2 linked regions of the Saccharomyces cerevisiae S288C genome follow. The gene in region 1 interacts genetically with each later gene. Each region holds a gene or a part of one and is shown in the gene's direction. Other genes may lie near its edges.

Region 1 (6,251 bases):
TAGTAGACTCACTGTACAACAAGCGCATCGGTAGAAGAAGATCATGGATCATTCCAGTACAATTTGTTAGTGGATTTGTGCTATGGGCATTAGGGTGGTGCATATCACAAGGCATAATCTTCGATGGTGTCGACGATGCGTTCCATAATCGCGGTAATGGCACTTTACACAGTGTCAGTATAAAAAATTTGACGTGGTGGTTTGGCCTGTTAGTTTTTCTGTGTGCCACTCAAGACATCGCAGTTGATGGTTGGGCGTTGACGATTTTGTCCAAAGAATCCCTATCATATGCATCTACCGCGCAAACAATAGGTTTGAATATTGGTTATTTTATGTCATTTACCATTTTCCTGTCGTTGAATTCCTCTGATTTCGCCAATAAGTATTTCAGAAACATCCCACTGGATCACGGGTTCATTAGTCTTGGTGGGTACATGAAATTCTCGGGCATGCTTTACATTGTAATAACCATATATATCATCTTTTGCACCAAGGAAAAACCCTACGTAGAGTATTTGCCCAAAGTGGAGCCCATAAATACAAGTGACGGAGGGTCAAAGCCGATAAGTATTGAGTATGACGACGGTGATGTGGTGTCAACTCAGAATACAAGCAGTATAAAGTACATTTACCGCTGCTTTATAAAAGTGTTGAAATTGAAGTCCGTAAGAAGCCTAGCCTTCATTCACATGATTTCGAAATTTGCCTTTCAATGCAACGAAGCCGCCACAAACCTGAAACTACTAGAGCAAGGCTTCAAAAGAGAAGACTTGGCTGTGACAGTACTCATAGACCTGCCGTTCGAAATCATATTTGGGTACTATGTTGTTAAATGGAGCTCCGACAAGGACCCCATGATTCGTGACAATAGAAGATTAAGAAACAGCACGGGCACCAACAAGGTCATCAAGTTCTTAGTTGGGGATGCCGGCGTTTTAACACCATGGTTGTGGGGCTTTTTGGGCCGTCTGGCAGCCGCGGTCTTGGGAAGTTACGTGGTGAAGCAATTCCCCAAGGATGGTGAAATATCCACGGGTTATTTTTGTCTCGTGATATTCCAGCACCTCTTAGGTTCCTTCATGAATACTGTCCAGTTCATTGGAATATCGGCCTTCCATACAAGAGTTGCAGACCCCGTGCTGGGTGGCACATATATGACATTGTTAAATACCCTCAGCAACTTCGGTGGGACATGGCCGCGGTTAATCATTATGTCCATGATCAACTACTTCACCGTGTATCAGTGCACTATTCCTGGCACAAATAAAGTATACGTAACTCACGGCGGCAGCATGCAAGCGTGCACCGAGCTTTTGAATGGCACCGTGACCATCCTGCGTGACGGCTATTACATCACCAATCTCATATGTATTGTAGTCGGACTTTTCCTATATTTTGGATATTTGAAAAGGAAAATCCTCCATTTACAAAGTCTGCCAATCAGTTCCTGGAGATGTACGTAACGACCCCTCAAACAAGAATTGTACGACATTACGTTCAAGAAAATTTTAACGAGTATCGTAATATTTACAAGATCTTTTTATGTACTACAGGAAGCAGAAACAAAATGAGTATCAATACCAGTGTAAATCTGTTAATGAGAATCATCACATTATCCCAGTTTTTTCCATGCAAGGGAAAAATATACTATACGACATTTCTATACTTTAATTATCAATTAAGGTCATCTTTCTGTACGAAAACTAACCACGATTGTCACTAACGACGTGTCCCTTACCCGACGCAGCTGCTGATAGCGTACCGCACAGGCACAGCCAGCTCTTCTGTGATTGGCAGAGAGGGGTCCTTCCTGCGGAAGACGCCGCAAAGGCACATATGACTAACCTTTTTTTTTTCGCAATTAATTTTCTAATAGTTTTTCATTTTTTTTTTACAATTTTGGCAGTTACGTCTCGAGCTATTTATTATAAGAGTCAGAATTGGCGCAGGGAGTGTTAAGTAAGAAGTACTCCCCATCGGATATTTCCTATTGTGTTTCTGTGATTTTTAGTCCTTTTTTCTTTTCTCTTACTTTCGGTATCCTTACTTGATTACATACATAAACAAGCCCCTCTTTTCTTCCAAACTCTTGTAGCTTACTATCTGTGGCCCGTCATTTGAGTTTGATTTTTTTGCCAATTACTATATTGCAAAATAAAGGACAGTTACTAGGAGAGAAAATAAGGGACATAGAGAACAAAATAAAATATGAGCAGTAGCAAGAAATTGGCCGGTCTTAGGGACAATTTCAGTTTGCTCGGCGAAAAGAATAAGATCTTGGTCGCCAATAGAGGTGAAATTCCGATTAGAATTTTTAGATCTGCTCATGAGCTGTCTATGAGAACCATCGCCATATACTCCCATGAGGACCGTCTTTCAATGCACAGGTTGAAGGCGGACGAAGCGTATGTTATCGGGGAGGAGGGCCAGTATACACCTGTGGGTGCTTACTTGGCAATGGACGAGATCATCGAAATTGCAAAGAAGCATAAGGTGGATTTCATCCATCCAGGTTATGGGTTCTTGTCTGAAAATTCGGAATTTGCCGACAAAGTAGTGAAGGCCGGTATCACTTGGATCGGCCCTCCAGCTGAAGTTATTGACTCTGTGGGTGACAAAGTCTCTGCCAGACACTTGGCAGCAAGAGCTAACGTTCCTACCGTTCCCGGTACTCCAGGACCTATCGAAACTGTGCAAGAGGCACTTGACTTCGTTAATGAATACGGCTACCCGGTGATCATTAAGGCCGCCTTTGGTGGTGGTGGTAGAGGTATGAGAGTCGTTAGAGAAGGTGACGACGTGGCAGATGCCTTTCAACGTGCTACCTCCGAAGCCCGTACTGCCTTCGGTAATGGTACCTGCTTTGTGGAAAGATTCTTGGACAAGCCAAAGCATATTGAAGTTCAATTGTTGGCTGATAACCACGGAAACGTGGTTCATCTTTTCGAAAGAGACTGTTCTGTGCAAAGAAGACACCAAAAAGTTGTCGAAGTCGCTCCAGCAAAGACTTTGCCCCGTGAAGTTCGTGACGCTATTTTGACAGATGCTGTTAAATTAGCTAAGGTATGTGGTTACAGAAACGCAGGTACCGCCGAATTCTTGGTTGACAACCAAAACAGACACTATTTCATTGAAATTAATCCAAGAATTCAAGTGGAGCATACCATCACTGAAGAAATCACCGGTATTGACATTGTTTCTGCCCAAATCCAGATTGCCGCAGGTGCCACTTTGACTCAACTAGGTCTATTACAGGATAAAATCACCACCCGTGGGTTTTCCATCCAATGTCGTATTACCACTGAAGATCCCTCTAAGAATTTCCAACCGGATACCGGTCGCCTGGAGGTCTATCGTTCTGCCGGTGGTAATGGTGTGAGATTGGACGGTGGTAACGCTTATGCAGGTGCTACTATCTCGCCTCACTACGACTCAATGCTGGTCAAATGTTCATGCTCTGGTTCTACTTATGAAATCGTCCGTAGGAAGATGATTCGTGCCCTGATCGAATTCAGAATCAGAGGTGTTAAGACCAACATTCCCTTCCTATTGACTCTTTTGACCAATCCAGTTTTTATTGAGGGTACATACTGGACGACTTTTATTGACGACACCCCACAACTGTTCCAAATGGTATCGTCACAAAACAGAGCGCAAAAACTGTTACACTATTTGGCAGACTTGGCAGTTAACGGTTCTTCTATTAAGGGTCAAATTGGCTTGCCAAAACTAAAATCAAATCCAAGTGTCCCCCATTTGCACGATGCTCAGGGCAATGTCATCAACGTTACAAAGTCTGCACCACCATCCGGATGGAGACAAGTGCTACTGGAAAAGGGACCATCTGAATTTGCCAAGCAAGTCAGACAGTTCAATGGTACTCTACTGATGGACACCACCTGGAGAGACGCTCATCAATCTCTACTTGCAACAAGAGTCAGAACCCACGATTTGGCTACAATCGCTCCAACAACCGCACATGCCCTTGCAGGTGCTTTCGCTTTAGAATGTTGGGGTGGTGCTACATTCGACGTTGCAATGAGATTCTTGCATGAGGATCCATGGGAACGTCTGAGAAAATTAAGATCTCTGGTGCCTAATATTCCATTCCAAATGTTATTACGTGGTGCCAACGGTGTGGCTTACTCTTCATTACCTGACAATGCTATTGACCATTTTGTCAAGCAAGCCAAGGATAATGGTGTTGATATATTTAGAGTTTTTGATGCCTTGAATGATTTAGAACAATTAAAAGTTGGTGTGAATGCTGTCAAGAAGGCCGGTGGTGTTGTCGAAGCTACTGTTTGTTACTCTGGTGACATGCTTCAGCCAGGTAAGAAATACAACTTAGACTACTACCTAGAAGTTGTTGAAAAAATAGTTCAAATGGGTACACATATCTTGGGTATTAAGGATATGGCAGGTACTATGAAACCGGCCGCTGCCAAATTATTAATTGGCTCCCTAAGAACCAGATATCCGGATTTACCAATTCATGTTCACAGTCATGACTCCGCAGGTACTGCTGTTGCGTCTATGACTGCATGTGCCCTAGCAGGTGCTGATGTTGTCGATGTAGCTATCAATTCAATGTCGGGCTTAACTTCCCAACCATCAATTAATGCACTGTTGGCTTCATTAGAAGGTAACATTGATACTGGGATTAACGTTGAGCATGTTCGTGAATTAGATGCATACTGGGCCGAAATGAGACTGTTGTATTCTTGTTTCGAGGCCGACTTGAAGGGACCAGATCCAGAAGTTTACCAACATGAAATCCCAGGTGGTCAATTGACTAACTTGTTATTCCAAGCTCAACAACTGGGTCTTGGTGAACAATGGGCTGAAACTAAAAGAGCTTACAGAGAAGCCAATTACCTACTGGGAGATATTGTTAAAGTTACCCCAACTTCTAAGGTTGTCGGTGATTTAGCTCAATTCATGGTTTCTAACAAACTGACTTCCGACGATATTAGACGTTTAGCTAATTCTTTGGACTTTCCTGACTCTGTTATGGACTTTTTTGAAGGTTTAATTGGTCAACCATACGGTGGGTTCCCAGAACCATTAAGATCTGATGTATTGAGAAACAAGAGAAGAAAGTTGACGTGCCGTCCAGGTTTAGAATTAGAACCATTTGATCTCGAAAAAATTAGAGAAGACTTGCAGAACAGATTCGGTGATATTGATGAATGCGATGTTGCTTCTTACAATATGTATCCAAGGGTCTATGAAGATTTCCAAAAGATCAGAGAAACATACGGTGATTTATCAGTTCTACCAACCAAAAATTTCCTAGCACCAGCAGAACCTGATGAAGAAATCGAAGTCACCATCGAACAAGGTAAGACTTTGATTATCAAATTGCAAGCTGTTGGTGACTTAAATAAGAAAACTGGGCAAAGAGAAGTGTATTTTGAATTGAACGGTGAATTAAGAAAGATCAGAGTTGCAGACAAGTCACAAAACATACAATCTGTTGCTAAACCAAAGGCTGATGTCCACGATACTCACCAAATCGGTGCACCAATGGCTGGTGTTATCATAGAAGTTAAAGTACATAAAGGGTCTTTGGTGAAAAAGGGCGAATCGATTGCTGTTTTGAGTGCCATGAAAATGGAAATGGTTGTCTCTTCACCAGCAGATGGTCAAGTTAAAGACGTTTTCATTAAGGATGGTGAAAGTGTTGACGCATCAGATTTGTTGGTTGTCCTAGAAGAAGAAACCCTACCCCCATCCCAAAAAAAGTAATTTTTACTCGTTAATTATATTTTATGACATCTGAAAATACTAGCTGTACTATATATGGCGTATATTTTATCTAGTTATGTTCCCATGTATATTTAAATGCCAAATAGAAAGTAATCAAACACTTTCGATGAAATACGTGCTAACTGTGTTTCTTCCTTAATGCTTTCACTTACCATGTCTCCATTCTCCATTTTCTTCTTGAGTGAAAATGTGAGTTTATAACGCTCAAGTACGTTAACTACTCTATTTAATATCGTACGGGATTTTTGATCGACTGTAGGTTTTCTTCTTAGACCATTCCAGCGCCCGGGTATTTAACCAAACGCTACGGATGCACAATAACTTACAATAAGCTCATCATTAGTCTTGAATTGCATCCAAAGTTCACCAATATTTTGCTGCGGACTTGGCGCAAACGAATTATTTATATAACAATAAACATGGTCCATTTTCAGCCGTCTCTTAAGAAATAAAATAACCATTGCAAAAGACTGTGACAT
Region 2 (4,297 bases), on another chromosome or scaffold:
ATTCTTATTGTTAGCAAACGGTTCAGAAAGAGATGGAAATATTGAAGGTTGTTGTTGAGAAGAAAACGATGACTGCTGATCCTTCTGTTGGTTGTGTTCTCCTGATTGCTCTTTCAAATGCTGAAGCTCTTGGCTCGAGGGTACCTGTCCGTTGGAGACCGCATTATTATTACTGTTAGCTTGCACTGCAGTATGTAACATATTCAGCAACTCTCTACCGGGATCAATCTGCTCCTCCTTAGTGATACCCAACAACAATTTCAATTGTTCTTCCGCATAGGATTTCAATTGATCTTCATTTTTTATTTGCCTCTGATGCCTTAACCACATTGATAAGGGTCTCATCATGGAATTAATCAGATAATACTTGATATTTGATTTGTACATTGTTTTAGAAATTTTCTTAAAATCGAACCATTCTATCTTATCAATTTCATTTCTAACTTGAGGTTTAAAATTGAAGACTTCTGAAACACCAGATATCAAAAATATTTTGTAATTTTTACCTTGAATATTTCTTTCAATGAATTGGTTGTCGTCAATATAGTCCGTCAAATCGAAACCAATTTCTTCTTTCACTTCTCTAATGCAACAATCTATGTCATTTTCATCTTTAGATATCTTCCCCCTTGGGAATGACCAAGAATCCGATTCAGTACCCTGTACCAATAAAATTTTACTCAGGTTCTCGTTAAATATGGCAGCGCCCCTCACCGGTATACTTTTCTTATACTTGGAGAATTGCTGGAGTGCCTCATCCACTCTTATGTCCCATTTCCAAACCAGAGGACATAGTTTTATGATCAATTGAGCAAATGATTTAATCTTTAGGGAGGGTAAAGTTGGATTCATCAATTTGATGAAATCCGTGTAAAACCATGAGGCTTCTTCAAAATGAAATAACTCTCTCTCGACACTCGATAAATCTTCATTCGGACAATTTATAATAAAACGTACTAATAAGTCCTCTAAAATTCTATCAACAGAAGTAACGTTCTCCAATGCGTGTCGTAGCGGCAGTGACATTGTCTAATGCGAAGGTACTTTTATTTTTTTCAGATTCAAAGCAATATTATTTAGACAATTGATACTAAGTGAGCTTAAGGAGGATTAAACAACTGTGGAATCCTTCACAAGGATTCAATATTTGTTTTTCCTGGTTATTTTGCCATCATTCAACTTTCCTCAGACGTAAAATTCGTGCTTAGTGATGTCTCAATATTCCCGCAGGGTAATAAAATTCAATAACTATCACTATATACGCAACAGTATTACCCTACATTGCTATCGGCTCAATGGAAATCCCCATATCATAGCTTCCATTGGGCCGATGAAGTTAGTCGACGGATAGAAGCGGTTGTCCCCTTTCCCGGCGAGCCGGCAGTCGGGCCGAGGTTCGGATAAATTTTGTATTGTGTTTTGATTCTGTCATGAGTATTACTTATGTTCTCTTTAGGTAACCCCAGGTTAATCAATCACAGTTTCATACCGGCTAGTATTCAAATTATGACTTTTCTTCTGCAGTGTCAGCCTTACGACGATTATCTATGAGCTTTGAATATAGTTTGCCGTGATTCGTATCTTTAATTGGATAATAAAATGCGAAGGATCGATGACCCTTATTATTATTTTTCTACACTGGCTACCGATTTAACTCATCTTCTTGAAAGTATATAAGTAACAGTAAAATATACCGTACTTCTGCTAATGTTATTTGTCCCTTATTTTTCTTTTCTTGTCTTATGCTATAGTACCTAAGAATAACGACTATTGTTTTGAACTAAACAAAGTAGTAAAAGCACATAAAAGAATTAAGAAAATGGTTAAGGTCAGTTTGGATAACGTCAAATTACTGGTGGATGTTGATAAGGAGCCTTTCTTTAAACCATCTAGTACTACAGTGGGAGATATTCTTACCAAGGATGCTCTAGAGTTCATTGTTCTTTTACACAGAACTTTCAACAACAAGAGAAAACAATTATTGGAAAACAGACAAGTTGTTCAGAAGAAATTAGACTCGGGCTCCTATCATCTGGATTTCCTGCCTGAAACTGCAAATATTAGAAATGATCCCACTTGGCAAGGTCCAATTTTGGCACCGGGGTTAATTAATAGGTCAACGGAAATCACAGGGCCTCCATTGAGAAATATGCTGATCAACGCTTTGAATGCTCCTGTGAACACCTATATGACTGATTTTGAAGATTCAGCTTCACCTACTTGGAACAACATGGTTTACGGTCAAGTTAATCTCTACGACGCGATCAGAAATCAAATCGATTTTGACACACCAAGAAAATCGTACAAATTGAATGGAAATGTGGCCAACTTGCCCACTATTATCGTGAGACCCCGTGGTTGGCACATGGTGGAAAAGCACCTTTATGTAGATGATGAACCAATCAGCGCTTCCATCTTTGATTTTGGTTTATATTTCTACCATAATGCCAAAGAATTAATCAAATTGGGCAAAGGTCCTTACTTCTATTTGCCAAAGATGGAGCACCACTTGGAAGCTAAACTATGGAACGACGTCTTCTGTGTAGCTCAAGATTACATTGGGATCCCAAGGGGTACAATCAGAGCTACTGTGTTGATTGAAACTTTGCCTGCTGCTTTCCAAATGGAAGAGATCATCTATCAATTAAGACAACATTCTAGTGGGTTGAATTGCGGACGTTGGGACTATATTTTCTCTACAATCAAGAGATTAAGAAATGATCCTAATCACATTTTGCCCAATAGAAATCAAGTGACTATGACTTCCCCATTCATGGATGCATACGTGAAAAGATTAATCAATACCTGTCATCGGAGGGGTGTTCATGCCATGGGTGGTATGGCTGCGCAAATCCCTATCAAAGACGACCCGGCAGCCAATGAAAAGGCCATGACTAAAGTCCGTAATGATAAGATTAGAGAGCTGACAAATGGACATGATGGGTCATGGGTTGCACACCCAGCACTGGCCCCTATTTGTAATGAAGTTTTCATTAATATGGGAACACCAAACCAAATCTATTTCATTCCTGAAAACGTTGTAACGGCTGCTAATCTGCTGGAAACCAAAATTCCAAATGGTGAGATTACTACCGAGGGAATTGTACAAAACTTGGATATCGGGTTGCAGTACATGGAAGCTTGGCTCAGAGGCTCTGGATGTGTGCCCATCAACAACTTGATGGAAGACGCCGCCACTGCTGAAGTGTCTCGTTGTCAATTGTATCAATGGGTGAAACACGGTGTTACTCTAAAGGACACGGGAGAAAAGGTCACCCCAGAATTAACCGAAAAGATTCTAAAAGAACAAGTGGAAAGACTGTCTAAGGCAAGTCCATTGGGTGACAAGAACAAATTCGCGCTGGCCGCTAAGTATTTCTTGCCAGAAATCAGAGGCGAGAAATTCAGTGAATTTTTGACTACATTGTTGTACGACGAAATTGTGTCCACTAAGGCGACGCCCACTGATTTGAGCAAATTGTGATCTCCCTTGCCCCAGTGTACACATATATAAAAATATATTCATGCCTATATGATTATGTATCGGAATCCAAAAACTTATCTTTATATTGCTTCGTTTCGTAGTTAGCAATGAATCATCTTATCATGATTCCTTTTTTTGTTTTGGCCAGATTAATGTATCACGGTCGACGGCGAAGGCATCAACCATTGTTGTGGAATTTCAAACACAATACTTGATGACTCCAAACGTGGGCATATATTTTGATTTGAAAAGAAGTCGAGAAAGTATAGCAACGCATTGTATACGTTTGAAGCTTTCAGCAAAGGATATACCGTGGAAATGTACACGCCTATCCCTGCTAATACCCCTGCTCCCACTGCACCAACTTCATCGATGACGTCCAACTCTTCATCCGCATCAAATGCCAACACCACTAGCAGTAGTGGCATAAACCCAAGGAACAGAGCCAGTGGTACTCCATCCAATGAGCGGGCTCGTCCGGCGTCGGGTATCAGTTCGTTTTTGAATACCTTCGGAATTAGGCAAAATAGCCAGACAGCTTCTTCTTCTGCGGCTCCTGATCAGCGTCTATTCGGCACAACCCCATCTAACTCACATATGAGTGTGGCCATGGAAAGTATCGATACCGCTCCGCAACAGCAGGAACCACGTCTGCATCATCCTATACAAATGCCTCTGTCGGCCCAGTTCCACGTTCATCGCAACTATCAACTCCCCATCTCCATATCTCTCACTGCCCCTACAACCACAGACCACCAGCAATCATCTGCGCATAATTTCGAAGGCAACAATGTTGGTAACGTTCAAGAGTCT

What was found.
Region 2: of PYC2 (region 1) and MLS1, extra expression of one rescues a mutant of the other (dosage rescue), as found in Saccharomyces cerevisiae (one study listed by BioGRID).

The regions. Positions count from the first base shown.
Region 1 is NC_001134.8:658,207-664,457, reverse strand, and holds PYC2 (pyruvate carboxylase 2), read left to right. Parts: upstream 1-2,208; coding exon 2,209-5,751; downstream 5,752-6,251. Other genes in the region: YBR220C (uncharacterized protein), read left to right, coding at 1-1,463; YBR219C (uncharacterized protein), read left to right, coding at 1,155-1,455, 1,877-1,959; ATG12 (Atg12p), read right to left, coding at 6,066-6,251. UniProt on the Saccharomyces cerevisiae protein: Pyruvate carboxylase catalyzes a 2-step reaction, involving the ATP-dependent carboxylation of the covalently attached biotin in the first step and the transfer of the carboxyl group to pyruvate in the second.
Region 2 is NC_001146.8:404,539-408,835, forward strand, and holds MLS1 (malate synthase MLS1), read left to right. Parts: upstream 1-1,819; coding exon 1,820-3,484; downstream 3,485-4,297. Other genes in the region: DCP2 (decapping enzyme complex catalytic subunit), read right to left, coding at 1-1,026; ubiquitin-conjugating protein DMA2, read left to right, coding at 3,803-4,297. UniProt on the Saccharomyces cerevisiae protein: Malate synthase which takes part in the glyoxylate cycle. MLS1 activity is essential for cells to grow on oleic acid as a sole carbon source.